4 linked regions of the Notamacropus eugenii genome follow. The protein of the gene in region 1 purifies or fractionates together with the protein of each later gene. This does not show direct contact. Links are inferred from orthologs where the notes say so. Each region holds a gene or a part of one and is shown in the gene's direction. Other genes may lie near its edges.

The links.
Region 2: the proteins of NXF1 (region 1) and RANGAP1 purify together in Homo sapiens (co-immunoprecipitation; 3 studies listed by BioGRID and IntAct, with this or other methods). This does not show direct contact. The link is inferred for Notamacropus eugenii from reciprocal best matches to the Homo sapiens genes NXF1 and RANGAP1.
Region 3: the proteins of NXF1 (region 1) and SRSF7 purify together in Homo sapiens (affinity purification with western blotting; 3 studies listed by BioGRID and IntAct, with this or other methods). This does not show direct contact. The link is inferred for Notamacropus eugenii from reciprocal best matches to the Homo sapiens genes NXF1 and SRSF7.
Region 4: the proteins of NXF1 (region 1) and XPO1 purify together in Homo sapiens (affinity purification with mass spectrometry; 3 studies listed by BioGRID and IntAct, with this or other methods). This does not show direct contact. The link is inferred for Notamacropus eugenii from reciprocal best matches to the Homo sapiens genes NXF1 and XPO1.

The regions. Positions count from the first base shown.
Region 1 is NC_092873.1:15,879,513-15,886,610, reverse strand, and holds the start of NXF1 (nuclear RNA export factor 1), read left to right. Parts: upstream 1-4,080; 5' UTR 4,081-4,201; coding exon 4,202-4,229; intron 4,230-7,098.
Region 2 is NC_092874.1:300,353,785-300,361,418, reverse strand, and holds the start of RANGAP1 (ran GTPase-activating protein 1), read left to right. Parts: upstream 1-4,601; 5' UTR 4,602-4,714; intron 4,715-4,903; exon of another isoform or gene 4,904-5,036; intron 5,037-5,917; exon of another isoform or gene 5,918-5,996; intron 5,997-7,195; exon of another isoform or gene 7,196-7,328; intron 7,329-7,465; exon of another isoform or gene 7,466-7,468; 5' UTR 7,469-7,502; coding exon 7,503-7,614; intron 7,615-7,634. Other genes in the region: uncharacterized protein, read right to left, coding at 3,232-3,238. UniProt on the Homo sapiens protein: GTPase activator for RAN. Converts cytoplasmic GTP-bound RAN to GDP-bound RAN, which is essential for RAN-mediated nuclear import and export. Mediates dissociation of cargo from nuclear export complexes containing XPO1, RAN and RANBP2 after nuclear export.
Region 3 is NC_092872.1:672,757,408-672,765,046, forward strand, and holds the start of SRSF7 (serine/arginine-rich splicing factor 7), read left to right. Parts: upstream 1-4,632; 5' UTR 4,633-4,717; coding exon 4,718-4,745; intron 4,746-5,681; coding exon 5,682-5,862; intron 5,863-5,975; coding exon 5,976-6,152; intron 6,153-7,040; coding exon 7,041-7,115; intron 7,116-7,209; coding exon 7,210-7,317; intron 7,318-7,639.
Region 4 is NC_092872.1:643,247,690-643,254,844, forward strand, and holds the start of XPO1 (exportin-1), read left to right. Parts: upstream 1-4,104; 5' UTR 4,105-4,858; intron 4,859-5,291; exon of another isoform or gene 5,292-5,499; intron 5,500-7,155. UniProt on the Homo sapiens protein: Mediates the nuclear export of cellular proteins (cargos) bearing a leucine-rich nuclear export signal (NES) and of RNAs.

The DNA.
Region 1 (7,098 bases):
AATTACAGCAAGATGGTCAGCCCTTTCCGCCTTGTCCTCATTTCAGGGAGGGGCGTCTTAGGGGTTGGCCTGGCCTCCCATGGCAATAGTGACCCCAGGAAACTGGGGGTGCTGCCTCTGACAGACTGAGGACTCGCCTTGCCCCTTGGTGTATCCTGCTATGGCCCTGCTCCAGCAGTAGCCAGGGGAGAAAATGGGAGAATCTGAGCTCATAGCTACAAGTAGACTTGGAATCGGTCATCTTGGCTTCCTTGTCTGCTGCCTGTGCTTTTGGGTGGGAGGCAGAGGGTGCCAGGGGCTCATGATCCTCCCCTCAAGGTCCAGGGAGGCTTCTAGGGATCACACTGTCCCCTCAGGCATCATCTCAGGCAGTGAGGGAGCCTGCAAAGAGGGGGCAGCATAGGCCAGGAAGGCAGACAGTGGGCCTGTAGCAGCAGTCTCAGCCCCAACCAGCATTCCAAGAATACTCTTCCCAAGGCCACCCCTGTCTTGAGACTGAATCTTCCATCCATAGTCTGCCCACTGCCAGGGATTATCCATCTTGGCAGCCTTGGCAGCTGCGCAGTCTGGGAGCTGTAGGAGTCATTTCTCAGATTGCTGCTGTGGATGAAGCACACCAGCCTAGAAGAAACAGGTTGGCCTTCAGGGAACCTCTGCTCCTGGAAGATGCCCTGTGGCCAGTCTGCTGTCTGCCACCTAGATCCTGGGTTAGCAAGAACCTGCTGAGCCTCCTGGTCTGGTCTGTCTAAACAATCAGATTTATTAGGAAGTTCATTGGAAATGCTCCCTGCCCAGACAGGCTTTGGATCTCTGGTCACCTGCTGAGAGGCAACGACTTTGATCCTAGTGAGACCGTTGTTAACACAGGTTCCTGTGCTCTGAAGGAGGAGCCCTGTAGAGTATCCAGGTCTAGCCAAGGCTTTGGGCCTTAGCAGAGAGAACCAGCTCTGGGAAAAGCCTGGGAAGGCTGGGACTCCTTTGTGGGGAGGATGGCTGGTGGAGGAACTGTGATCAGGGTGGGGGCGGGGTGCTACCTCTGTGACCTTAGCAAGTCAATAAAAACACATTTCTATAGTGCTTAAGTTTGCACAGCACATTTCCTCATTTGACCCTAAGTCCAATCACCTGGTGAGGTTCTTGGCTTCCCAGCCACCCCAACTACCACTCACCCTACTAGGTCCAGTGATACTGGGTAGGCCGCTGTCTCAGGCCAACCAACCCTACCCACCCTTCCTGTTCTCTCATCTCTAACTGATCGATCGATCAACATACATGTATTATGTGCTGGCCCCAGGCCCCTCCCCAGCCCCATCTGTGGTGCCCTCTGGAATCTGCTCCTTCATTTCTCCTCCCTTTATTTTATGTAGATCTCTTCCTCTCCAGCTCTTCCCCAGATCTTGCTGAAACATACATTTCCCTTCCCATCTTTGTAGCACTGATCAATTCCATTTCTACTTGGCCACTTTCCCCTCAGCCAGTTCTCAGCTGAGTTCTGCTGAATGAATCCAAATCCGTCACTCGGGCCAAGTTCTTGTTGCTGTCTGTGCACATCCCCGCTCCATCCATTCTCCCTCCTTTGTGGAGACTTTGAGGGTCTGACCCTCCTCTCCCCCTCCTTCCCAACCCCTGCTCTTGGATTAGGTGATGTTCCCACAAATACCCTGGCCACCCAGTTCCTCAGTCTACTACTCCACTTCGATCTGGCCACCCCCCACCCCCACCCCCAACAAGTGACCCACTTCCCTAATCAGGAACTCTGAAATTCCTTTATCTGATTATAATTTGTCGGCAGGGATAGAGGGAAAGGCCTAGAATCATGAAGACCCCAGTTCAAATCTGGCCTCAGATACTTACTAGACATGTGACCACCTGTCTGCCTCGATTTCCTTGGTCTTAAAATGGGGGATAATAGGCTGTTCCTAAAGTCCTTGGTACAGCACACAGTGGGCACAATGTTGGTTTGCTTTCTTCCTGTGCCAGACTACCCCCTCTGTGTTGTTCTCCCTGTGCTATTCCATCTCTCCCCCACTTCAGCAATTTCGGGGCTACCTGTCCTCTGGCTCCCAATCAAAAGCCCATCTTTAAGCTGCTCAGCTCTCGGGCCCTGCTCCTCCCCAGAAAACCCAACCTCTGCTTGCTAGCATCCTTTCCTGGTGCTACTGGGTGGGTGGGGAGCAACCCAAAAGACAGAATCTCTTCAGAGAAGCTGCTGTCCTTTCATTGGCCCTCAGTCCCCTCTCCACCAGAGCCCTCCCACACCAGGTCCACATCACAAATGACCCTGAGCACTCCCCTTCTCAAAGTCACCAGACCCTTTGACATCCTTCCTCATTCCCTTTTTGGAGAGGTGGACCTTCTCACCAAGGCCAGCAGATCATCCCCCTCATCCCTCTCCTTGCCACCTACACACATGCTCCATCCCTTTTCCTCTCCTGTCCCTTTTCCCATCAGGCTTCCAACCTCATCCCCAGAAAATGCTTTCTCAAAAAACAAAAACAAAACTAATTGCCAGAGACCTTTTTCTCCATCCTTATCCCATCTTTACTGCCACTTTAGCCCCTTTTCCTGGATCCGCCTCCTCTCTAGGTTGGTGACTTTTGGTCTGCCTGCCTGACCCCTCCTTGTCAAGTGTCCTTGGCTGGACCATTATCAATATCTGACCCCCAAGGCTCCATTTGGGCCCTCCTCTGGGTACAAAAAGTAACCTTGTCAACCTCTGAGATCTACATTTCTTTGCACAGTCAGCTTAAGGCAGGTCTACTAGATCCGAGGACTGGGTTTCTCTTAGGAGCTCCAATAGCACATCGCCAGCTGCCTATTAAATATTTCCAAATGTCCAAAATGACTTATAAGCTCTAATTCCCCCCCCCCCCCCCCCGCACAAAAACATCCTGGTGAGTGCACTATTGACCTTCCAGTTCCATTAAATTCAATGTGTGTTCGTCCTTTGTTGCCAAAGAAGACCATGCCATCAGAGAAATGGTGACATGACTTGCACTTGACTTTGTTCTGAGTGACGGAGGGCTGTGCCAGTCACCAGCCTCACTTCTCCTCCAGAGCCATGGGAATCCAGGGACCAGATATTCCTCAGGATGACCGGAGATGACCCAGGAGGAGGCAGTTGGGGTTAAGTGACTTGGCCAAGGTCACACAGCTAGCGAGCGTCCAGCGTCCGAGGTGAGGTTTGAACTCCGGTCCTCCCGACTCCTGCACCGGGGCTCTATCCACTGCACCTCCTGGCTGCCCCATTAAAGTCAATAAACATTAAATGCCTACTATGTGCTAAGCTAAAAAGACCGTTCCTACCCTGGAGGAGACCCCAAGCGGAGGCTGTACAGCGGGGGCTGCGGAGCCGCGGGAGGCGCGTCCTGGGGCAGGGCTGGCCCCCAGCCCCGCCCCCTGGATCGCCAGGTCTGCCCAGCTGCACCCCCCAGCGCCTGCCTCACGGTGACAACCTGGCACACCCGCTTCCGGACTCGGGGACCCCCGCGTGTCCCCCGTCCTGCGTGGCCCCGGTCACAACATACAGGAACGCCCGCAGGTGCCCACGTGATCATCGCTGACTGGGGCACGCCGCGGGGATGGCACGTGCCCGGAGTCACCCCCGGGCTTCCGGACCCGGGGCCCAGAGCGCCCCGCTGCCTCCGGCCAAGTTCCCTGACTGCTGGCCCAATGTCACTCCTGCCTTTGTAATCCCGCCGCTGGGCGGCTACTGGGCACGCAGTAGGCGCTTACTAGGTGCATGGGGACTGACGGGGAAGGGATCGAGAGGCCTCCGCTGCCTCGGGGGCCCCGCAGCCCTAACCCGCGAGCTTGGGACTAGGCGCCGGGGAAGTCGGGGGCGGGGCGGGGCCTGGGGGGCGGGGCCTGGGAGGAGGGGCCTGGGAGGAGGGGCCGGAGGCCGCGCCAGCCCAGCCTGTCCCAGCGGGACGCGCAGGCGCAGAGGCATCTCGTTCGCTGGCCGCGCGGCCGTGTGCGCAGGCGTGGCGTGCCCCAGCTCCATTGTTGCGTCCGGCTCCGCCTCGCGGCTCAGCGCCAGCCTCGCGGCGCGTGGAGGCCGGCTGGGGCGGGGGCGTGCGCAGGCGCGTCGGGGGGGAGGGGAAGGGGGTGCGGTGGCTCGCTCTGAGGCGCAGGCGCTGTGCGGAGCGCCGAGGGGCTTCGTCGTTTGTCAGAGCCGGTGTCCGGCGTTCCCCGGCTCGTCATGGCGGACGACGGCAAATCGTACATCGGTGAGTGCCAGGGCCCGGGCCGCAGGCGGCGGCCGCGGGCCGTGGGAAGGGGCCAGGCCTGGGGGAGACGGGGACGAGGCCGAGGCCCTGGGCCCGCCGGGTCGGTGGAGCGCTGGGTGCGGGCGGCGGGGGCGCGCCTCGAGCCGCGAATGGCGCCCCTGAGGCGGCGGGGGCGCGCCCGGCGGGGCGGGGGCGCGCGCGGCGGGCTCGGGGCCGGGCCGCAGTAACCGTAGGTCTCGAGGCCCCCTCCTTCCCCCCTCCCCCCCGCTGAGTGCCTCCTCCCGGGTGGGTCCGGGCTGGGGGAGGGGCGGCCCTGGCGCGGGACCCCTTCGTTTATACCAGGAGGGGGGCGTCTGCGGGTCCCCCCAGGCCGTGGCCCTGCCAGCCGCGTAGTCAGACCTCGGTGACTCAGTTTCCCCCACGTGCCAAACTCCCAGAAGCCGGCGCCACCGGGAGGGCGGCCACGCCTGGGGTCGAGGCCGTGTTTTCTGTGGTCCGGCCCCCTCAGGGGCCCCGGACACGCCCTTCCTGTGGCCCCCGAAGGGAAGTTGTTGCGAGGGGTCCCTTAGCGTTTGTGGGCGCGCCTGGCCGGGGCTGCGTGAGACCTGCCCACCTCCAGGGGCCAGCCCGAGTGACAAAGGGCCCCTCCCTGCCCGCCCAGGGACGGGAGGGGGCGGGCACGCGGGCTGGGTGCCGTTGGAACTCGGGGCGCAGGGGGTCCTCCAGAGGGTCTGCTCAGGCATGGGCATCTGTGCCCGCACGGGGCTTGGCTGGTGGCATCAGGGCGGGCTCCGGGGAGTCACTGCGGTGGAGGGGCTGAGGGAGGGGGCCGGCGAGTTGGGCCTTCCAGGGGTGGGCAGGTGTGGCAGCCAGCGCAGGACCACGGGGCAGCAGGGAGGGAGAAGCCTGCTGTAAGCTGGGCCAGTTGTGAACAGCCACCTAGATAATTAACATTCTTGAGGCCACTTGGGGCCTTCGGCGTCCTTGGGTGCGGCCTTCTGAACAGTTCTTTTATTGGGGGGATTTGCTCTGTGAAGTTTGGGTTCAGTCAGAGAGCCGCACTGGAGGACCTAGAGGGCCACATGTGACCTCCAGGCCGAAGGTTCCCCAGGCTTGAGCTAGCGCTATGTCCTGAGCTGATCTTTGACTTCCACTCTTCCTGGTGGGCACATGCTGCTGTTGGCTCCAGTTTGAGGTGAGGAAACTAAGGCAGGCAGCAGGAAGGGCCTTACCCAGGGTCACATGCTAGGAAGTGTCTCAGGTCTAATACGGGGCAAAGGAGTTTGCCTTGATCCTGAAAGTCTTAGTGACAGGGGCCTATGCCAGCATGGCAGGGGCATCTTGGTTAGCCTTGAGTTTCAGGGCCTTGGGAGGATGATGAGAGAGAGGAGAGACTGGAGACCTAGAGGCCAGTGAGGAGGTGAGGTTAGCAGTGATGGCCAAGCGAAGCTGGCTGCTGAATGAATGGAAAGAAAGCCGTGGAGGGGAGTGGGTGTGTGAACCTGGGGCGGGGGGGGAACCGAGGGCACTCCTCCCTCCAAGCTGGCACTGACTGGAATGACAGCATCTGAGTGACCTGGGGCCTTTGAGTCATCTTCTCTAAAACTCCATCTATGCCTACCTCTGCAGATGAAACATGTACAGGAATAACTCTAAGAGGAATTAAAATGTTAAGTACCTAAGAGAAGTCATACCGTAAACAAACACTTGTGTGAGAGACCCATTTTTGTTATATTTATGGACACTTGTTTTTTCATCAAGTAATTCCCCCCCTCTCCTTCACATAGAGCCATCCCTCCTAACAAAGAATACAAAAAGCAGTTCTTCCCAGCCAGGTCTGCCACTTCTGTCTGGCAGAGTCTAGCCCCTGTGACCGCCCCCCCCCCCCACTTGTTCAGTGGGGCATGCTTTCTCACCTCTTCAGAAGGTCCTTGTGATTACACAGGGTGCAGGGTTGTGGGTGCTTGTCATTGTGTATATGATTCCTGGTGCACTGGTCAGACTTTCTCCACCTTTATATTCATTGTTTCTTACAGTGCTGTCATATTCTTTTCCCTTCCTCCCTGTAGTTTGTTTGGCTGGCCCTCCATGGATCCTCTCTTGCCTCCAGCGCTCACAGGGGCTGCTATGAATATTTGAAATATAGAGCCTTTCTGTCTCTGACCTCTTTGAAGTGCAAAGAATAGCACTTTTTTAGCATAATTTCAAATGCTTTCCAGAGTGGTTGAGCTAATTCATGGGTCTGCCAACAGAGAGTGCTTGTGTGCCTGGCTTCTTAAAGCTAGAGAGGCAGAATCTTAGGGGAACATGAAGATTTCATTTTTAAAAATGTGGAATTGGGAGAAGTGCTTGGGGTGGAAGTCAGGTTTTGGGAATCATCTACATAAAAATAAAACTGAAGCCTTGGGAATCCATGGGATCAGCCCTTTGGAGAAAAGCCGCACTTAGGGGGCAGATGAGAAGTTACTAGGGAAGGGAACTTGAAAAATTCTGTGTGAGGCAGCAGGGCCCCATTCACAGAGGTATGCCCCTGTAGAGATTCTGATATGGCGCACCCCAGTGTGGCAGACCCTGGAAGGGTAGCCCAGGAGGCCTGAGGCCTGTGAGTGGGCAAGACAGCAGGAGACTCATTCTCCCCCCCCAAAATCATGCTCTGTGAGGTCCACCAGGGCTGAGGAGAAAATGGAAATAGAGGGAATGTTAAGGTGTCCGGCAGGTGGAAATAAACCTGAGGGGACCCTCCCACAGTAGCCTAGAGGAAGTGCCTGGTGAGGACTAGACTGAAGGAGACAGCTTTTTCCACCTTGCCTTGAACCATCCTTGTGACTCCAGATTAAATTTTGAAAACCACGTTCTCCTGCTCTAGAAC
Region 2 (7,634 bases), on another chromosome or scaffold:
TCAGCAGCCATCTAGAACAATCCTTTCATTTTGTTTTTAACAGACAAGAAAATTGAGGCAGATGTGTAGTGACTTGTTCAAGGTCATATAGCTAATAAGTATCTGGAGCAGGATTTGAACCAGCGCTTTCCTTTCTCCAAGTAGAGAACCCCATCCAGCGCTTAGCACAGCACCTTGAACACAGTAACACTTATTAAGTGTTTTTTGACAATGATGCCACAATCACTATGCCTCTTGAATTCACTAGCTAGGGTGTCTCATCATCTATGGCCCTTATAAATTACTGCATCTGGGAAACTGGAGTTGGATTCTTTCTTTTTACAGATGAGGAAACAGGTCCAGGTAGGAAAATATTCAATGTCACAACACTAGATAGTAACAGAATGACAGACACCAAGAGAAACATATGTGTCATGGAAATGGCTGCAGGCTGGAGTCAGGACAACTGAGCTCAGGTTTGGGTTCTGGTCTTATTATTAGTTGGTTGACAGGGTGGCTAATTCCTTTCCTGTCTACCTCATAAAGGCTCTGTGAGGATGAAATGAAATATTACATTTAGAGATGGAGAGGACTGTAGAAACCAGTCAGGCACTCCTCATTTTACAACTGAGGTCCAGTTTCTTAGACCTTGTCTAAGGTCACATAGGCGATGTGCCAGAGACAATTCTGGAATGCAGGTCCCCACCTCCCAGCCCACCAAGCTATACGTGTTCAATTCTGAGTATCATGGATTCTGAGAAGATGGGAAGGCTCCAGAGGTCATCCACCAGGATGGGGAAGGGCCTCAGACTCATGCTGTAAGGGGATTAGTTGAAGGAACTGGGGATGCTCACCCTGGAGAAGATTCAAGGGAGATATGAGGGCCAGAGTTCAAATCTGGCCTCAGACACTTAATAGCTGTGTGACCCTGGGAAAGTCACTTCACCCTGTTTGCCTCAGTTTCCTCATCTGTAAAATGAGCTGGAGAAGGAAATGACAAACCACTCTAGTATCTTTACCAAGAAAACCCCAGCTGGGGTCATAAGTCAGAAACAACTAAGCAACAACACAAATCAGGATTTGATTGTTTTTGTTGATTGTCTAGACTTAATAAAAAGATGGATAAAATGTTAATAATGCAAATTAAACTTAAAAGTGTATCTCAGGTTTGTTAGGCTTTTTTTCTTCTTCTGGAGAGCCAGTTGTTAAACATTTTAACAGCACATCTCTGCTTCCCCCTCACTGGGAGTCTTCAAGCAAAGACAGAGAACCACCTCATGTTCCAATGTCATAGAAGAGATTCTTCTTCAGGCACAGCTTGGTCTAATGGCCTGGGAAGCCTCTTGCAGCTCCCAGAGTCTGTGGTCCTGGGAAGTGAGAGGCTCTGTTTGTTCTAAAGAATTTGGATAATTGCTGAAGATACAGCTACCCTGCCCACTGGTGGGTCCCATGACTGTGTAGAAATAGATGGATCCTTCCCCAAGGGGCCCAGAATGTTACTACCCACTTGAAGACCAGGAAATGCAGACCCTAGAGGTAAAGGGAAAGAAGAAGTGCTGACCTCATCATTTAGCCTGGGGACTTCTCTTTGCTTTCCGCCTGGTTCTAAGCCCATTTTGGAGCTTTGTTGTTGCTTTGTTAAGTATTCTATACAATGAAATTGTTTCTGGTCAAGAGCAGAATATGGGAGACATCTGAAACAGTGGAAAGAATTGTGACTCTGAAATCAAAGGACCTGAGTTTGAATCTCACTTCTGTTACTATCAATGTAAGCTTGATAAGTCATGTGATTCCTCTCCTTGTATTTCCTGTAAAATTGAGGGGAAGGGAGTCATACTCCATCAACTGATCAACAAGCATTAATAAATCACTTCTATGTACCAGGTACTGTGCCCAGTGTTGAGGGCACAGCAAAAGCATTTCCTGCCCTCAAAGAGCTTACATCTCCAACAACATACAAACTGCAAATGCTAGACATCACAGTACAAAAAAAATCTCTGTCCAAGATCTAGGCAGTGTAAATGACAGGCTTCAGATCTAAGATTCGGTGACTTTGGGTAAGCTACTACTACCTCCCTGGGTCTATGAGGGGGGCCAGCCTTGATGGCCTCCAAAGTCTCTTCTGGCTGAAGATCTAGGAGCCTGGAAACAGTCAGAGAATGTGACAGTGGCTAAACAGCTTTGTCAAGGACTCATTTCAATCAGTTCAGGTGACTACCCTGTTCCAGAAAGCACGTTCCCTCATTTTGGAATGCCCCTAAATACTCAACTAAATAAACCACCCCAATTTATCTTGTTACTGAAGAAAGTCTTCTTGTGTCTGATGGTAATTTTCAAAAGCAAACCCCTCATTTAGGATATTCTCTCCACTCTTCCATCTCCATGGAAAAGAAACACATGTGAGTGAAATTTCTCTGTAAAGCATTTGCTGGACTGGCCATGTTCCTGACCAGTTGGACCCCATTCAACAGCCCTGGCTTGCTTTTATTTTCTTTCTTTCTTTTCTTTCTTTCTTTCTTTCTTTCGCAACATTCATTTTTGTAAGATTTTGAGTTCCACATTTTTTCTCCCTTCTTTCCTTCCCTTCCCCCTCCCCAATATGGCAAGAAATCTGATGTAGGTTATACGTGTACAATTATATTAAACACATTTCCACATTGTGAAAGAAGAACCAGAACATAAGGGAAAAAACATGAGAAAGAAAAAAAAGAGAAAATAATCTGCTTCAATCTGCATTCAGACTCCACAGTCCTTTCTCTGACTGTGGACAGCATTTTCCATCATGAGCCTTTGGAATTGTCTTGGATCATTATACTGCTGAGAAGATCTAAGTCTATTACAGTTGACCAGAGCACAATGTTGTAACAACCCAATTTTTGACAAACCCATCAAGGCCTTTTCTATCTATTTGGTATCACCAGAGTTTGTACCACTCCACCTCCTTGACAGCAGGTACTATATTTTTGTCTTTCTTTGCTGTTGCCACTGAAATTTCCAGTGTTTGTTGCAGTCTCTGAAACGTAGCAGGCTTAACATGTATTAAGATAAACGTCTTTTTTGAAAATTATGAAAATAATCAATGAACACTAACAATAGTGTAGTCTATGAAAATGAACTTCAGTTACATGTAATTTGTTGGGGTGTTTTGGTTTTTTTAAGTATGTTATCAAATGTAGCTAGGTGGTGCAGTGGATAGAACACTGGGTCTGGAGTCTGGAACATCCGCGTCCAAATCCAGCTTCAGACACTTACCGACCATGCGATCCTCCCCAAGTTACTTAACTCCTCTTTGCCTCCGTTTCGCATCTGTAAAATGCAGATACATTGGAGAAGGAAATGGCAAACCGCTCCAGAATCTTTGACAAGACGCAGGTAACCATCAAACGTAACAAAGTAGCAACAAAATTGCCAGTTTTGTTTCTCCTTTCTCACTTTCCTCTACACTTCGTTAGTGTTTTATCAGTGCTCTATCACCACCCAATAACTCACCTGCCACCAAAAAGAAGCTCCCTCCCCCTTATAACAAGTAAGGAAAACAAATCAACCCCTTGTCCCCAGTTGGCCGTACACAGGCGGTGTCCATCCCATGTCCATCACCGCCAGCCCTCTAAGTCCGAATCAATGCCATCCCAGTTCTGAAGTCTTTCAAAGGCTTTTCCCCCTCTTTTCACTATCATTGTGTAAGTTGTTCACCTGGTTCTGTTCGTTTCTCCGGGTCTCAGTTCACAAGAGTCTTCTCGAACTCCTCCTCTGCCACAGTCCTTATTTCTTTTAACAGTAACCTCCATCACATCACTATGCCACCAGTTGTTCAGTCGTCCCCTATCTTTTTTCTACAGTTGTTGCAATAGTTTTGTAGATTTCAGTCCCTTCCTTCTGGTCTTTGGTCCCCTTGGTCTAGGTCTGGTCTTGGTTCTGAACTGATGGGTCAATGGGTCCGTACAACGGTTCAGTGACTTGGGGGGAGGGGGAAAACAGGATTCCAAACTGCTAGCCTGACCCCAGCTCCACCAACAATGTATTAGCGAGCCTCCCCAACAATCGCCATTTTGTCTTGCCACCTTTGCCAGTCTGACTGCCTCAAGATGGAAGCTCGGGGTGGTTTTCGTGGGCATCTCTTTACTATTAGCGATCAGGGGCATCATCTTCCCCTGGGGGTGGGCCAGCTCCTTCTGACCACGCCCGGAGCAGCTGCGCTCTCCACGTGGCCCCTCCTCCCAGGCTGGGGGCAGCCCCCTCCCAGAGGACGACCCAGAACAGAGCCAAAGCCCCCATCCCTGCTTTAAGGAATTGAAGGCACTAGAGGGAGCCCCGGTGCTGGGGTTTTGTCCGTCCAATTTTAAATAAAGTTGTTGACAGTCTGCCGTTGCCAGGACCGAAAGCGGCGAGGCGCATCTCGGGAATGGTAGTCTCCTCGCCCAGCCCACGAGCCAGTCCGATTCGGGTCGATGATCTCGCGGGAATGGGAAGGGAGGAAAGCCGGTTTGTGGCGCGCACGGCTCTATGGGTAGTGTAGTCAGAAAGCGGTGCGGCTCCTAGGGCGAGCCGAAGGGACGGAACTACACTTCCCGGCTCCCCCGACAAGTTGGAGGAAAAAACGCCCGGCGGAGAGAGCCTGAGCAAATCAGATCGCAGGAAAGAAACTGCCGGCTTTCAAAAATTCTCCCTCGCCGCCATCATCGATCGGCGGCCCCGAGGCGCAGGGGCTGTTTGCGGAGACCGGGGCGAGACGCGTGTGAGTGTGCGTTTGTGCGGGGGAGGCTTGGTGCGCGCGCCCGAGGAGCGGGAGGGAGGGAGCGAGCGAGGAGGGTGGGCGGCCGTCGGTCACCGGCCTATCGTGACGCCGCGTTACGCCACCGCCTCCGCCGCCGTCGCCCGCACGCCCCTCGGCTCCCGCGTTTGATCCCCTCCCCCTTCCCCCCAGCGCGCGGACCCCCCCTTCTCCTCTCCCCCTCCCTCTTCCCGGAGAAGCCTTGCGCGTGCGCAGGAGGGCGTCCAGCGCGAGGTCCGAGGCCGCCGCTGCACGAGGCGCCCGTAGCTCTCCCGCCCGCGCGCACGTAAGTCCGGCGACTCCCGCGGGGCCCCTGCGGGCAGAAAGCGGAGGGAGGAGGGCTGCAGATGGGGAAACTGAGGCCCGGAGGGGGAGCGGCGTAGCGATTCGGAGCATCACGTGGCTCAGCTCCGCTTTTTACAGCGGGGGAAGCTGAGGCCCAGCGCGCAGTCGGGGGGCCGGCCGTTCGGGGGCCGGAGCCTCGGAGGGGGTGGGGAGAGCTCTAGGCTCAAGGAAGAGACCGAGACCAGGGAGGACCCCGCCCCGCTGACCCTCGTCCCAGGTGGTCACATGGTGTAGAGATCAGTGGAGGAGGGGGGACCCAGACCACAGCCCCCACCTTGTACCGGAGAACCCCGGGGCCCGCTTAGGAGGCCTGGCCGAGGTCCTGATATGGGAGGAGACCCCGAGGGGCCCGTCCGAGCCGGACCTGGCCTCCCCGCAGGGCCCCGCACCGCCCCGGCCCACCCACACGCAAGCCCCTGTGGACAGGCCCCCCAGCACCTCGGACAGTGCCTGGGGCCGGCTCTGCTCAGGCCTCCAAGGAGCTGCCTTCCGAGGGTTCCTGCCGCCCACAGCAGGGGAGAAAGGGGCGCCCTGCGGGGGACGTCTCCTCACCTTGCCCTGAGCCCTGGTACTCTGGGAAGGAAGGCGCCTGTGGATGGTTCTCTGAGGGTGAGCCCTCAAGGTGTGCCACAGGGCTTTAGGTAGAAACCCATCCCTTAGGACTGGGCAGAACTTGGAGCTGGAAGGGGGGCCACAGTAAATGTCCCACAACCAGAAATCAGGCCCTGACAGGAACCTGCTGGTCACTGTTCCATAGCTGGGTCTTGGGATTTGAACCCACATCCAATTTTCTCTCTAAAATCTAGCTTTCTTTCCCCACAGACATGTGAATGTTACTGATTACTTCTGTAATCTGAAGCTTTCTGCTTCAGAATCCAATGTTGCCCTAATTTCCACCCAGGTACTCAAACCTCTCCTGCGCCACCTGACCTTCCCTCACCTCAGGATAGAGGTGTCATTTAAAACCCCCATCGGGTTTCTATTTTGTGTCCCCTAGAGAGGGTGGTACCCCAAGACAACAGTTATCTTTCACCAGTCTGTGCCCCCCCCCCATCAAGGCTTTCTACAGGCTTATGCCCTCAACTTGGGGGTTCTTTCTGGGCTGCCCTGCCCTTGGAGGGGGTGGGGTGGTCTTTGTCCCGCAGTAGTAGGCCAGCCTATTGTGATGTAGAGTCTGCTGTCTCCTAGGAGCCCCTGCTTCCTGCCTTTAGCTCTTGATGAGGATAACTGGTTCTGAGTTTGAACCTTCAGTCTTTAGGTGACAATCCCTTTCTTCCCACCTACCCCTTCCCACCACCCTAGACAAGCCAGTGCAGGCACTGGGTTTCTCCCTGGATGGATCGCTTTAATCACTCTGCCCATTTGGGGGAGGGCAGTAGGAGATTGACCCAGGACAGCCAGTCACTAGTCCTGTTTACATTATGTTCTCCTGGATCTGCAGCCCTGCTGACAACTCCAAATTAAGGAAATCCCATGGTTCTGTCCGTTTTGTCCCAGCTGGTAGAGTCAGGGGGCAGCAGGAACTGAGGGCCTGGGAGCAAAGGGCAGAGCTTGTCTGCCTTGCCCTTTCATTGGGTCAGGCCAGACAGAACTCCCCTTTGCCCAGGGTTTCAACCTGTGTAAAAACCTGCTGTTTGAGGCACATCTCAGTAGGAGCTGGATGCTCACATCTGGAAGAGGGGCTGCTGAAGCCTTCCCCAGCAGACAGACCACTGGCCTGCACATGGGGGCCAGATCTGGATCCCTCCTCCTTTCTTCATTTCATTACTACCCTGGGGCCTCCATTACATTGCCCACGAAACAAGGGATTTGGACCCAATGGCCCTCAAGGTCCCTTGGAGCCCTGGGACCATTCGAGAGACTTTTCCCTCTAAATGCTCCCTCTGCACCCAGTCACTTGCGACCGCCCCTTTTCAACCTTACATGGCATAAGTCTGTAATGTGTCATGAGAACATATATTCCAGCCACCAAGTTGGTGTCTCACCCCTCTTGCCAGACACATATTTTGCTGGCAGGGACCAGCTCTTGCCTGTACTTTGGGTTTTCCCTCAGGACTGTACTCAATGTAGTAGGTGCTTAATAAATGTTTCTTGCTTCAGGGAGAGGCTGTGTCTTTCATGTTTAACATCCTCCAGCCCCTGCCCTGGGGACAATATGGCCAAAGCCCTGGCTTTGGGATCTTCCAGCCTGGGCTTCAAACCTGACTTTGCTGTTTCTCAGCTGGGACCTGAGGCAAGCAAACACCCTTATTCTTCCTGTTGATCCCTGGCTTTAGTGAGGCCCTGGAGATCTCACCAAGGCATTATGGGGATTGTGAAATAGCAAACAAGTGGAATGGCTTTGATGATGAGGGATGGTGCCTTTCTCAGCAGCCTGGGGAGGAAGCTTAACAAAGCAGCTGAGACCATGGCATCTGAGGATATTGCCAAGCTCGCCGAAAGCCTGGCCAGAACCCAGGTGGGCGGAGGACAGCTCAGCTTCAAAGGCAAAAGCCTCAAACTCAATACGGCAGAAGATGGTGAGACCCTACCCCTCCCC
Region 3 (7,639 bases), on another chromosome or scaffold:
GGTTTAGGTAAGAGGTGAGGTCTCAGTTAAGGTGCTAGCATTTTAAAGGAAAAGGTGAATAAATTTAAGTGGAAAAAGTCAAACCTGGTTGAAGAATAGTGGCACTATGAACAAAATAGGTAAGTTGGGAGAAGGAAGAGATTGATTTATAATTCTTTAGGATCATAAATTTAGAATTGGATGAGGCACTGAAGATCATCTAAGTCCAGCTCTATCAATAAGTCTTTGCATGAAAAGTGCATGAAAGGTTAGTGGAAGGATTCTTTTTCAAATCTCAGGGGTGATAATTACAAATATGACTAATAAGTATAGGGCAGTGGCCTTATACAAACTCTGAGAAGCTCTTTTCCTACTGGGTAGTGCAAGTGGCAGTGATTTGGGACAGGGTTTCTGGGAGAGGAGGAGGTGGATACTTAAAATCCATCTAGAAACAAATCCCAACCTCAATCATCACTGAAGTCAAGTGCTAGACATTTAGGGCCATGCTTCTCTTTGGTGCTTCCTTTCTCCATTTGTGGCTGACTCTGATGTTCATTTTAGCCTGATTTAATTTATGTAAAAAAATGGTGAGGGCTATGGGTGCAAAGCCCACAGTTCAATTTTCTCTAAGTCAGCAACAGCAGCAAACTATCTTTATACAGTCTGACCTTGTGCCTGGAGTACATCAGCTTCCCTTTCACCTCTGTGAAGTCTGTCCTGCTTCCTCAGTTCTTACAGCCCTACCTCAAATTATCTTGTATTTACTTAGCTGTTTACATAGTATCTCACTCAGGAAATGTAAACTCCTTAGAGTAGAAACTGGTTTTTGTTTTTGTATCACCATCATCAGGTAAGCATTGATTAAGGGCCTCCGATGTAGCAGGTACTTAATAAACCCTTTGTTAAAAAGAATTTAATTGTTTTGGGAATCATAATAGGACAAGCATCCTCCGGGTTTTGGATTTGTGCCAGAGGGGGAGGAGTTTTAGAGGCAAAAATCTAATTCCATTTTAGCAGAAGAGGCTAATTCTTTTTTAGCCTCCTACTCTCCCCTAAGAAATCTGCCAAAGCACAGGCCAAGGTACTCTGATTTGTCCTAAATTAAGGAAAGTTATTGCCTCCCAGTGTCAGTAATTACCACATAAGAGTTATCAATTATCAAATCTGATATGAGAAAAGTTTTTTCAAGTATGGAAAAAATTTAATAGACAAGAGGTATACCTTGTGCATATTTGACTTTGTCTCCGGGGCTGAAAGGTTATGAACAGAGCTTCGTTACTACATTTTCTGTACTTTCCACACTGCAAGATAAGATTTAACATGTACACAAAATGTTGCTATGTATATTGTTCCTTGTAATATTTAACTTAAAGAGTAAATGTAGTCATAATCTAGCTAACTGATCTGAGGTAACTCAGTTATTTACCATAAAAATGTATTTGCTGATGCTTGGAATAGTTACTTTCTAAAATGATAAACTTTTTATTAGGAGAGCAAAGTAATCAGATGACACAAATATTTTTTAGAAGACTATACAGTTTCAATGACTTTCATTCCCAGTAAATGAAATATTGCATGCTTTATGGTTTCACCTATGTATTATTAATCAAAACACCTAAGAGTAAAAATTGAAGATAGTCTCTGTTGGCAAAGACAATATTAATGCAAAAACTTGGAATTATGGAATTTTAGAGCTGAAAGGAACCATAGTGATCAACATAAAATACCTATTTTTATTTACAGAGTATAATCAAGTCACCAATTCAAATCCTAGTCTGGAGAAATTTGCCTTTTTCTTTAGACAAGCTAGAAAAATCTTCAACACACAGGTCTATTTTGATTTGAACTCATACACCTGACAGAAAGGTGTGGTCAGTGTGAGCTCATATTTTCTTTGGTTTTTTAATTGGGGGTGTGTTGGATTCTCCATTTAACTATTAGACTAGACTTGTAAACCAACTTTCACAGTTAGTATTGTTGACCTGAAAACTTGGTTAGAGAAAAGGCAACAGGCTAAATGCATACATTTTATGATTTAATTAATTAATTGATCAGTTCCCCATAAAGAAAAGTTACATAGCGCTATGGAGTCAGAGGTGACTCTGACTACCTAGTACAGAAATCATCTGTCTTAAGTACATTTTGCCATGAGAAAGAAACTCTCCTAATTAAGCAAATCATAACTTCAGGAAGACAGGACAATTAACAAAGCAATGTCAGTCAGGCCTTGAGATTCCAGACTGGGTAAGCATATGTCTCGGTGATAAGGAAAGAAATTCCACCACTAGTAATTCCATTCCCAGCACTCCCCTAAACAGATAATTGACATAGGAAAGGGTAAACTATGTTCAATAGAAATTACGACCTAAGATGTCTATATTTTCTTTACCATTAATATGCCATAACATAGTAAGATACAAAGGAAAGTCCCATTATTCAAGATATAGTGTCTTAGGTTAAAGGTCTCCTTAAGGAATGTAGAGTCAGCCTTGGCTGGCTTTTGCTGACATAGGAAGAGGCATTCTCTGAGTTTACTTCAGAGAGAACAAAGAGATTATTCCAAAATTTTATATTAAACATTATCAGTATGTTGGTAATGAGTTGTCACCCCACTGTTCCTTCCTGGTTTTATTCTTACCTGTCTGACCACTCCCCCTTGGCATCTCCAGAGGGGTCAGTAGGGCCCCAGGGATAAGTCCTGACCTCTCCTCACTCTTTGTCTCAGAGGATTTATCATTTTCATAAACTCACTCATGCATCCTCCTAACTTCTATTTCTGTCACTCCACCACCATCCTTCCAATTACCCAGGTTTGAAGCCTAGGAATTATCTTTTACCCTTTCCCTAAATCTACTCAGTACAAAGCTCAGTGAAATCCTAGGAATTCAGAGCTGGACAAGAGGTCATCTAGTCTAAACCCCACATCTTACAGATCAGGAAACTGAAGCCCAAAGAAATTAAATAATTTGCCAAAAGTCCTATAGGCAGTTAAGTAGCACCGGTAAAATCTGGATCCCTAGGAGGACTTTGGCCACCTAGTTCTCACTGTCCAAATTAATAAGGTTTTGTTGTATTTACAACTCTTCTTTCCCAGAAAATATGAGAAACATTCTACAAATATTAGATTAATCCTTACCAAAAACTTCATTAAGCAGGTAAGCAGAAAAACTTTTAAGTCTCCATGAAAATGAGCACCATCTATGTTCCCGTAGTTTACCCAGACCATCAGACTTTCACCCTTTGGTAACTCGCTAGAAGTTTAGTTTTTTTCCTGTATTCTAAATCCTTCAGAACCTATCCCCGTACATTCCTGATCAGGAGTTGTGGGACAATTCCGGCGGCTGGGGAGGCGTTCTTAATTGGGGAGAATGGGTGGTGGGGCTGCAGATGCGGGGACGTCAGGATCTCGTCCGCTAACCGGGGCTAGCGCGGAGAAACCCACGTGCACTTTCAACGTGCGCTGTTACAACGCTCCTAGGTGGACACGGTCAGTCCTCCTGGATGGAGGACCGAGGATCAGGACACGGCCTGGGGCCTGGGGTTGGCAGCGCTTCTGTCTGTTTCCCCAAAGTTAGATCCCTCCTACTACACACCGTAGGATGCCCCGGAGAACGCCAGGTGACCACGGACTGGACTTCCTTCTGCGCACTCCCCTCCCCCCCGTCTGGGCATCCTGCCACGGGAGCAACAGTTCAAGCCGTGGGAGGTCTGTGAACTTGGGTGACCAATAAAAATGACTTCCTTATTTCTACGTAACAGGTGTCCTCGGTCATTCTGTGTGTCTTATTGTGGGACCGGGTCCGTCCAGGGCACCAAGAGGGTTAAGATGCTCTTAGGATTGAGAGATAACAAGCCCGGGGGCAAGGGGTGGCGAGCGACTGCAGACAAGCCCATTTTGGGGTTAGAAACAGGGGCGGTGCAAGTGGGGCTTAGAGAGGATAAACAGCAAGGCAGAGGGAGGGAGAGGTGCGAGGAATACGAGTCCCCCAAACAGAAACGCCGGATCTAGCGCTGGGAAGCGGCTGCCTCTCCCCGGAGGTCCTCCAGCAAAGGCTGGGGGAGGGGAGGGGAGGTTCGGGTCCTGGCCTCCGGGCTCTACACTGGAAGGGGCGGGGGGGGGGGGGGCGGTGATTGCTCTCGCCGCGGGCGGGGGTGCGTGGGGGGAGGTCTCCTCCTCACCCTGGCTCAGGCTGCCGACTCATCGATTGGGAGATGACCTCTCTGGAGGCCGGCGTCGGAAGTCTCGGCGGCTACGCTTTACTGTCTCGTGTTGGGGCGCTCCAGCTGCACTAGACACATGACCCCAGCCCCGGGGTCCCGGACCTGGGAGGGAGGGGAGGAGAGAAGAGGGGAGGGAAAGGAAGGGGAGGAGAGTGAAGGAAGGCGGGAAGAGGGTTGGGCAGGAAAGGGCGAGGAAAGCGCAGGCTAGAGGCGGAGCGAGCGCGGAGGAGCCCGGTGTTCCCATGACAACAAATCCCCCCGCCGCCTGGGATCCCAGCCCCCACGGCGTTCGAGCTCCTTCCGTGTCGCTTCTCTACCGTTTCCGCCTCGCGCCTTTGTGTGGCGCGTGATGACGACATGACGCACGCGTACGGCCGAGGAGGAGGGGCCCTGGTATATAAATTCAACTCCAGGAGCTACGGACCCGGGAGTTGCTCTAACCGCCGAGCGGAGGTAGACAGTGTCTCGACCTAGGCCGGGTCATTGCGAAGCGCTGCGAGCCCCCAGGCCGGACACCATGTCGCGTTACGGGCGGTACGGAGGAGGTAGGAGGCCGGAGAGAGAAACGAGGGAAGGGGATGGGACGGGTCACGGGCTGGGCAGCGCGACCCGAGGCGGGCTCAGGCTGGCGGCTGTTGGGAGACGGTTGTTCCTCGTGCGTAATGGCGGACCTCGTCTTGGCGCCATACGGAGCCATAGTGGGGGGGTGGGGGGAGGGGAGGCGTCGAGGGAAAACCTCGGAGCGCGGGCCTGTCTGTGTGGGAAGACCCCGCCGGAGCGGCTCCTGCGTTCCGCCGTGCTGCGGCAGACCTTCCCGGCCTGTACGTAGCCGCTACCCCCCTTTCGCGCCGCTGGCGGCGGGAGAAGGTGGCTGCCATTTTGCGCACGCTGCCCCTCTTCGTGGCGCAGGTCCCGGGGCCTTCGCCTCCCCCTCCCCCTTACAGTGCCCGGCCGGCCGGCCCGCGCCCCCCAGACCGGGTTAGGGCCGGTGGGGGAGGGGAGCGCGCGGTGCCGCTGCCGCTGCGGCGGCGGCGTGGGAGTTGGGGAAGTGCCCCGCGCGCCGGCCCGAGGCCGCCTCTGCCCCAGGCCTGCTTGGGGCCTCGCCCTGCCGCGGCGCAGAGCTGGGGCCGGGCCCTGCCGCCCCGGAGCCGCTCCGGCTCCCGTTCCGCTCCCCGGGCCGAGGGGGGGCGGAGCTCGGGGCTCCTCCCTACCTTTGTGCCCGAGCTCGGCCCTGGGGCTTCCCGGCAAGCGAGCGCCACGCTTAATTGTGTTGCCGGAAAGGACAAAAGAAAACGTCGGCGCGTTTGAGGTAGTAAGGCTAAAAAAAGTTTAAACGTCTTAGAGACAACTTAAAAAAAATGCAAAACCTGTTCTGTCGTCTAGAACCCTGCTTACGGCAGCCTTGCCCGTTATGATGTGGCTCAATTTTAAGTTGGATTGAGGTCCTGCTAACGTGCAGTCTTTTCTGTTTCTTCTGGCAGAGACCAAAGTGTATGTTGGTAACCTGGGTACCGGTGCCGGCAAAGGAGAGTTAGAAAGAGCTTTTAGTTACTATGGTCCCTTAAGAACCGTATGGATTGCCAGAAATCCTCCAGGATTTGCTTTTGTGGAATTTGAAGATCCAAGAGACGCAGAAGATGCAGTTCGAGGACTGGATGGAAAGTATGTATAGAATTTGATGTCTCAGAGTTCCCATATAATTAGTCTGGACAACAAACACGTTAGGATGTACCTGTACATTTTTGACGTTACATGCGTTGATCCAATTTTTCCAGGGTGATTTGTGGCTCTCGGGTGAGAGTCGAATTGTCAACAGGAATGCCTCGAAGATCTAGATATGATAGACCACCTGCACGTCGCCCATTTGATCCTAATGATAGATGTTATGAGTGTGGGGAGAAAGGTCATTATGCTTATGATTGTCATCGTTACAGCCGACGGAGGAGAAGCAGGTATTTATTTGGAAAAAAGGAGCGGTTGGTAACGGTTAATCATGTAATTCTTTTGTTAGCAAAGAAGAAAATACTATTTTTTTCTATAAACTTTTTATGTGTTAATTGTCAGGTGTATTTTACAGTTTGTGTTTAATTTTAAAAATGTTAATATATTAATAATCAACCTGGTCAAAACCTTTCAGGTTTCTTCGTTTGAGTCAGTCGCCTTGATTCAGAATGTCACGAGCCTTAAGATATCATGCTGAGGCGCCTTGCAAATCCGACAATTAAGATCCTCCTAGACCTTGAGGTGATCAGCATAAGAGGCCAGATCCCCTCGAGCCATCTACACCTAGCTTCACTTTATTCTTTAAAGGGCAGAAAATTTGAGACGGTGATCGCCGTAACAGTAAATTTGGCTTTCAATTGGGGCCCCCCTCCGGTTTAGAAAGAGGAACACCAGATTGACCACATTCCCACCTAGAAAAATCTTCTTGCGTCAATCAAGCCTCACCTGGCTCATTTGGCTGTCAGTTTGATCGTCGTTAGATTGAAGAAAACTTCTAGATGCAGCGATCGGCTATAGATACTTCTAGATCGTCTAGATCTGCTAGACCTTGGGCCAAAGAGGGTCGACCTGCAAACTTGCAAGGTTTATTTTAAATACACATTATAGTGTTTTATATTATGTAATTCTGAAATGTAATTCAGCTTTTAACAAATCTTTTCTAGGTAGTAAAAAAAAAAAAATACTCGACAGTTAATAGGCCCTGAGTTTATTTCCAACTGACAGACACTGTTTTAAATAGTTGTCTGAAATTTGATTTCAGCAGAGGTACACAAACATTAGTAAAGAAAAGATGGAATTTTAAAATCTAACACTTGTTTTCTCTAACTTGAAAATAGGTCACGATCTCGATCTCACTCAAGGTCCAGAGGAAGGCGATATTCTCGCTCACGCAGCAGGAGCCGTGGCAGGAGGTAGGCTCTTGTTTATATTTTTCAAAAAAAATTTTCGTTACAGACAGTGTTCGTTTCTTGCAGTGGTTGACTTAAAAAAAATTTCTTTTTGCAGGTCAAGGTCTGCATCTCCTCGAAGGTCAAGATCTGCATCTCTTCGTAGATCTAGGTCTGCTTCGATCCGATCTCGATCTGGTTCTTTAAAAAGATCGAGGTATTTCCAGTATGTTGAATTTTATTATGTTTAACTAGATAAAAACTGTGTTCTTTTGGGATTTAAAAAGTCCCATTTTGCTTGATCTTGATTTTTAAAAAAATAGGGAGGAGAGTGAATTAGTTGTAGAATCATAAATTTAGAGTCAGAACTTCAAAACCTAAAGGACCATCCAGGTCCTGCAGCAGAGCCAAGAATGGAATTCCAGATTCTCTTAATTTCAGATCCAGTGTACTCTGTATCATCTTCCCTCCTCTATGTTCCTTACTGGGGAAATCTGATTTCCCCCTCCCCAATACCAAACTTAGAGTGCTTTGTAAGGTACTCTACA
Region 4 (7,155 bases), on another chromosome or scaffold:
TATGTTCGACTTAATTAGCTTTCAGAAAGGAGTATTTACTAAGCAGATAGAGAAAGGAAGATTTAGACCCAAATAACTCCCATCCCCCCACCCCCAGGCTAAGGCACACTCTCCTCTGGCACACACAAATCCCTGGGGAGAGTGGGCTCTAGTTTAGAGAACATGAGAGAAAGGGTTAACTCACAGCTCTTGATTTTTGGAATTCCTTTTCTCCTTTCATAGAGTTCTCAAGAAGTTTCCCTTTGGGATATGTGCTTCTCTGCTGGACTCTGATGGTAGGTGCTCTTGTACAGTCCTGTAGTTGCATTTCCTCAGTATTCTCTAGTTCTTCCTTGACTCCTGAAGCACATACTGCCATCAGCCACTGCTGTTCCAGGAACGCCGCTACCAATACAGATGTTCAAATCTTCCAACCCTTCCAAAGTCACAAAGTTTTCCTCTGATCAAGAGGAGGGGAGAAAATGCAGAAATTCCTCCTTACCTACCCCCTAAGAGATTCCCTCTCTGATGCTCAGCTGTAGTTGTTCTACTATTAGTCCGATCAGTTATAGGAAAGCCAGATTCTGACCTGGTTTGCTATTTTAGCCAACTTCAACCAACCACAAGACATTTCCTATGAAGCATCATCTGCTCTCATTCAATGACTCAAGTATTTTACTAATTATCTAAGAACTTATTCCTACCTAGTTTATACCTTTGACTGATCCTGACACTCTCCTGATAAAGCTACTAAGGCATAGAGCATCTTGTTCCTCACATTAACTGGGGTGACAGGCTTTAGGATGCTATCTACAAGTATTAATACACACACATATATATACACATATACACAATACTCACATAGATGTATACATTGCATATGTCTCTCTACATACACATACACATATGATCAATTTTTTGTTGCTGTTCAGTTACGTCCAACTCTTTGTGACCCTGTGGACCATACTGTCCTTTCTTGGCAAAAATATTGGAGTGATTTGCCCTTTCCTTCTCCAGTGGCTTAAGGCAAACAGAGTTTAACTGACTTGCCCAGAGTCACACAGCTAGTAAGAGTCTGAGACTGGATTTGAACTCAGGTCCTCCTGACTCCAGGCCTGGTGCTCAATCCACTGGGCCACAAAGCTTTTTCCTCACATGATCAACAGAGTAGCAGGAAAAATGTTTTACTTTAGGAAGTAAATGAGGTAAAATGAACTACAGGACCAAAGAAATCACTGCTTTTGGAAAGGATGATAATAGCTAGTATTTATATAACATAAGGTTTATGAAGTATTTTTACAAATATCTCATTTTTTCCCTCAAATCAACCCTGGGAAGTAGGTGAGAAAAGCGTGGCTCGAGGTTAAATGACTTGCCCAGGTCACACAGCTAGTACGCTTCTGAGGGTGGATTTGAACACAGGTCTGTTCTGACTCCAAGTCTAATGCTCTATACTGTTCTCTGCCCCGATTCTTATTAAGGCTTAGTCACTGAATGGGTGTTGACCCAGTCAAACTGAGACCTGTTAAAGCCCTTAGCTTGAAAAGGTCTAGGTCCCCCACTGCATCCTTGGTCATCTCCCATTGTTCTGATCTCTATCTGGCCACTAGACCCACAAGGCTCCAGAGGAGAAAGTGAGGCTGGTGACTTTGCACAGCCCTCCCTCACTTAAATCCATTTCACTAGTATGTCATGGCATTAACCTCCCTGATATCATGGTCCTCTTCTGGGAAAGGACAAACAACAATCCTTTTCACTGCACCACCTAGTTTCCTAAACTAAATATTCAATATTCAAGTATAATCTTTAAAACACTGCGATGATAACTATAGCTGGAAGGAACCTCGGAGGTTAACTAGTTCAATCCATTCATTTGACAAATGAAGACACTGAGGCCCAGGGAGCTTAAGTGATTACCAGGTCACACAGGTAAGAAATCACAGATTCCAAATCTATGGCTTCTTCCATCGGCTCCTCCTGATCTACCAAGAGGATAATGGACAAACCTGGTTGGCGTGGGGAGGCCTTTTTGCTGTATCTCTATGTTCCCTCTCAAGATGGATATAACAGTTCACCTTGGCAAGGCTCCTCCAAACTCTAAGGCTAGAGCCAGACGTGCTTATCTAATGGCCCTCTGGAGCTGTTACACTGACAAGTCTTCACCGGAGGACCTTCCATTCAGCATTCAGGGCTCTGCTTTGAGGTGGTGCTGGGCACAAGATGAACCCAGTGTCTTGCATGCAATGATTCATCACTATGGTCACACAGATCTGCTCCTTTCTGTTAAGGAACGTACAGAGATGAGCCAAATACGGGAGCACCAAGAGCAAGAATACTTATTCACAGCCATCTGAAACCACTGGGGTAATTTTTCAGAAGTTCTACAGGCAGCCCATGTTGGTGGCGAGAAGGCCGGCTGGACCCAGCTCCTTGGGCAAGCCTCCACGACATCCCCAGCCTGATAAAGGGCCTTTCTTGGAGGAGGGGTTTGTCCGCGGGCCAGGGCCAGGGCCAGGGCTGGCAGATCCATTTTGTCTAGAGGCAGCTCTGGCAGGTTCCTGCCTCAGTTTCCTCAACAGTAAAAAGAGGACGATAACGGCAGCTATACTACAGAACTGCTGTCATCACAGACATTCATAGAGCCTGGCACATACTAAACGGTCAGTACATGCTTTAATAAACCCTTTCCCTCACCTCTCAAACGTTCAGGATATTGTGCCTCTGTCATCGCGGGCACGTGTTGGACAACGAGTTCAAATCTAGGTCTAGAAGTCATCCAGTGTGATCAGGGGGTGTACCTGGGGAAAAGGGGGGGAGGGACCCCACCTGGTTCAGCAGACAGGTGCCCAGGGAGCCAAGGCTTGCGCCAGAGAAGTCCAGGCACGCACACACACGGACGTAAACAAACACTCATTCCCTCGCCACCTCTGGGTGGCAGAATGGGCTCAGTAACAAGTTTCCGTGGGGGCGCCTCCTTATTTACCCAACCGTTTCAGGAGAGCCTGAAGATCGGCTGAGGAGCGCCCGGCTCCGGGCACTCCCACGTGTGCGGACGCGGCTTCCTTTGAAGTCCCAGAACGTGGGGCGGCCCGCGGGCAGCAGGGGGCCGGGCGCCTCACGCCCCTCCCAGACAGCCCGCAGGTAGCTGGGCGCCCGAGGCTCGGCGCCGAGGGCAGCGGGGGAGCTCGGCCGGAGCTAAGAGCCGCGCTCGGCGTGTCCCCCTCCACGCCCCGCTCCCAGGCACCCCGAGCGATCGGGCAGCTCCCGCGGAGCAGGGAAGGCCCGGTCCCGGGGGCTGGTGGCGGTCTTCCCGCCAAGTGCACAGCAGCCCGACGAGCGCGGCCGGGGCCCGCTTTACATTCGGAGGTCCCGACACAAAGGGCTCCAGCTCGGCCCCGGAGGGCAGCTCCTAGCGCTCCCACCAGGCCGCCCAAGGCCTCTCCTCCTGCCTCCCCCTTACAAACGATTAGTTCTCCCGGCTCCTGGTCTACAGCCCCCACCCACGGAGCAGGCAAAGGGCGGGACCCACAGCCGAGAGGGCTGAGGCGGGCTCAAGACGTTGGGCGGGAGATGGCGGGGAGGGGGCGGGGCGGGGCTGACCTGGGGCTGTGGAGAGAGGGAGCGAACACTTGCCCGCGCGCTACCAGATCAAACTCGCGCTTCCACCAGCACACTGGCGGCGCCCCACCCTCTCCGTCACCAAAGGCGCCGGACCAATGAGCAGAGAGGAAAATCGGGGCCTGAGGGCCTCGAAAGGGGAGGTGGCGGGAGGTGGGGGAGGGAAGGCTACTTTTGACTGGCAGGCAGCCGTGACCAATCCCCGTGCGGTTTCCCCTTGTCCTCCCCGCTCCACTCCTCTCTCCCTTGCCTACTACCCCCCCACCCAGGCTCCCTCTCAACCAGGCCTATCTCCCCTCCCCCACTCTGCGGGCAAATCGCTGCTGGAAAGAGGCGGGGGCCTGAGCGGCGGGCTCGTGTGGAGGCTTTAGGTGGGATTGATGGGTCCGCCAGCCAATGGCTGCGTGACTGACGGCGCGGCTGTGGCTAGCTCCGACCAATAAGCCGGCGGGCTGGGGGAGGAGGCCCAGGTTCCAAACGCTCCGCGGCGCCATGGGCTGAAAACTCAACCGAGATGGAATCTCCCAGTCTGAACCGGTTTCAACCGGTTCCGAGTTTGTGGCACTAGGAGGGGGAGAAGCGGCGCGGCGGCAGCAAGAGCAGCAGCAGCAGCAGCAGCAACAGCAACCTCCACGGCAATAGCTACAGCCCCAGCAGCGGCGCCTGCTCCCGTCTTTGCTGCTGCCGGCCGTGCAAGCACCCGGAGGGGGAGGAGGGAGCCGCCAGTCGCGGAGGAGGAAGAGGAGGGGAGAAAGTTTAGGGGAGCCGGGTTGGGGGGGCCCAGCCGCCGGAGCCGAGTGAGAGAGGGCACTGCGTTGTGGTGGGGGGAAGTCGGACTGCACCCGGCAGCACTGAGCGTCCCCTGACTGGACTTCAGCGGCGACCCCCCCCCCCCCCCCCCCCCCGCTGCTCCTGCCTGGCCGGAGGGTCCCCTTGGGGCTGAACCTCTGGGACCTGACTTCCCTTCTCCCCTCCCCCGCCCCTCCTTTTCCACCCCAGCGGGATCGTTGATTCATCCGCTTCGTTATCGTTATTTTGGGGGGAGGTGCGTGTGAGGGGGGGAGGCGTCACTGGAAGAGTAAAACGTTATTGAGCTTTTTTTTTGCCTTTTTCCTCCCCTCTCATTTTTTAATTTCTCTTTTTTTAAGGTGGGCAAACTGTGAAACCCACCTTCGTCTCCCCTCCTTCCCCCTTCCCCACCTTCCCTCATCCCCTCCCAGCCCCCCACAAGGAAGGACGAGGCAGTTGGTTCAATCTCTGGGTAAGTCGGAACACGTAATGAGCGATCTTGGGGGGTCGGGGGGTGTAGTCCTGAGGGTTCGGGAGCCCGAGCTGGATCGAGGAGAGATCCTGGGTGGGGTGAAGTGGGAGGATCGGGGGGGCGGTCCGCCGCGCGGCGGGGGGAAAGGCCCCCGAGCGGGGTACGGGCCGCGGTGTGGTGCGGTGCCTGCAATTGAATGGAACGGCTTGTAGCGCTGGGGAGGTGGGAGGGGAGGGAGGTGGGGTGCACGGCCGCGGGAGGCGAGCCGCTGCCGCCCTTGGGGAGGGGGCGCGGGGCCCGGGGGCTGCCCCCGTCGGCCGGGGCGATGTGGGGAACGGCTCGGTGAATTATTATGAGTGGAAGTTTCCAGAAATACTGAGTGCAGCAGCAGGAGCAGCAGCATTGAAACGTCCGCCTGCGTCACGTGGCCCCTGGTAGAGGGAGCTGGGATCGGGAGGAGGGAGGGGCTGCGGTGGAGCCAGGCCCGCTCGGGGCTGCTCCGGCGTGTGCGCGCGTGTGTGTGTGTGGACGTGTCCACGCGTGCATGTGCCCGTGTCCGGCCGTGGCGGAGGTCCTGAGCGGAGATGGCCGTGTGCGCGGTTAGACCCCTAGAAACGCGTTTGCTAGGGCTGGCGTTGTGTGTGAGTGCTTTCATCAGCCCTCTTCCGGGGGTGGGAGGGAGAGGGGCAGAGCAGGAGCCCTTTCGGGGGTGTTTGAATTCGGCCACGGTCGGCTCGCCGTCACGTCCCTGGCTCGTTCCCCGGGGCTGGGGCGCTGAGCTTGGGTCTCGCCTGGTCTGCATACCTTCCCCGAGTGAGGGCGGGGGGAGGGCCCCTGGCGGCATTCTATAGTTAGAAGTGCAGCACAGTCAGTCTGGGTGGGAGGCCGGAGGAGAGCAGGGGAGGGCGTGTTTCTCCTGAATGAAGCTGGCGACTGCCCGCACACCTTGTAGCGACTTGTCTCTGACCTGTGGTGAAGTTAGCTGTGAGCTACGGTTAGGGGATGGCAGGGTGGCTGTTGGCTTGTTCCTGTTGAAGTGAAGAGCCCTCACTATATACTAGCATGCTAGTACAGACCAGATAAAATGGTAATCCCGCGTGGAGAATGGAACCTAATGAACTGGTGTTTGGAGTGGAGGGGGCAGCAAGAAAAGGTATTTTACCTGGCGATTGGATGTTTGTTCCGGGTTTTACTAACACTTAAAAGCTTTTATGGAGAGAGGAAGTTTAAAACACTGATGGTTAGGAAGTTGAATTTTTTTGGACTTTTTTTGTTTTGGAAGTCAAAAGTGATTGACACTGACCACAAAGCTCCCATTTCTGTACTTTAAGAATAGGTAGGTCGTTTTGGATGTATAGTACTGAGAGTGGCACAATGCTGTGCTTATGGGGGGTGAACTACTTTGAAATGGATACTCTAGAAGATAGAAAATGGGGTGGGGATTGAGGGGCACCCTAACTAGTAAAATGCAGCACTTCAGTTGCATAAAAAGCAATATTATTATAAACTAATTTTCTTCCATCCATTGACAAATGGTGTACTTGAGTAGACCCAAGTAAAATGAAAACGTAAACTATTTCTTCCCTAATTATCCAGTCCTAATTAAAGACCACTTTTGAGGTGTATATTTCATGTTCTGTATGAGTGAATTTGTTTTCTCAATATAAATGATGCTACCCTTCATCTTAGAATTTTTAAAAATTACATTTGGGAAAGGAAAGAGTAACTGACACCATTGAGAGCATATGTGAGAGAGATTTCCATTTTTCTTTTTTGTCAGTAGTTATTTTTGACTCAAGATTTTGTAGCTATGCTTATGACAGGTGCTGTGTTCTAAAAATATATGTTGTGTAACACCTAGGTTTTAAGAATTGATGTCCTGGTTGTAAACTAGTTAATAGACTAGTAAGTTTTGAAAGTAGTTAAATTGTTCTATCTCTTTAGAAAGTCTTAAAAATAATTTCTGCTTTTTTGTGTCTTAGGGTAAATTGCATTTTTTAAACTTAGTATTGACTTTAGGATTTTCATTTTACATAAGCGAAATGTCATAACTTAATTTTTTTACTTTGAAACTAATACAATGAACCTATCTTCAGTGAGTACTCTAAGGCTTATCAAATACAAATTAAGCACCACCCATTCAGTCTTAAGGTTTTGCTTATAGTTTGAGTTTTAGAAAGTTACAGTGAAATAATCTCCAAATTTTTCAGTGATGAAAGTATTAATGTATTTTGGCTTTACACTTTGATAGTGCTGGTGAAAATTCCCAGATTTCTATACCATTCCTATTTATTGAA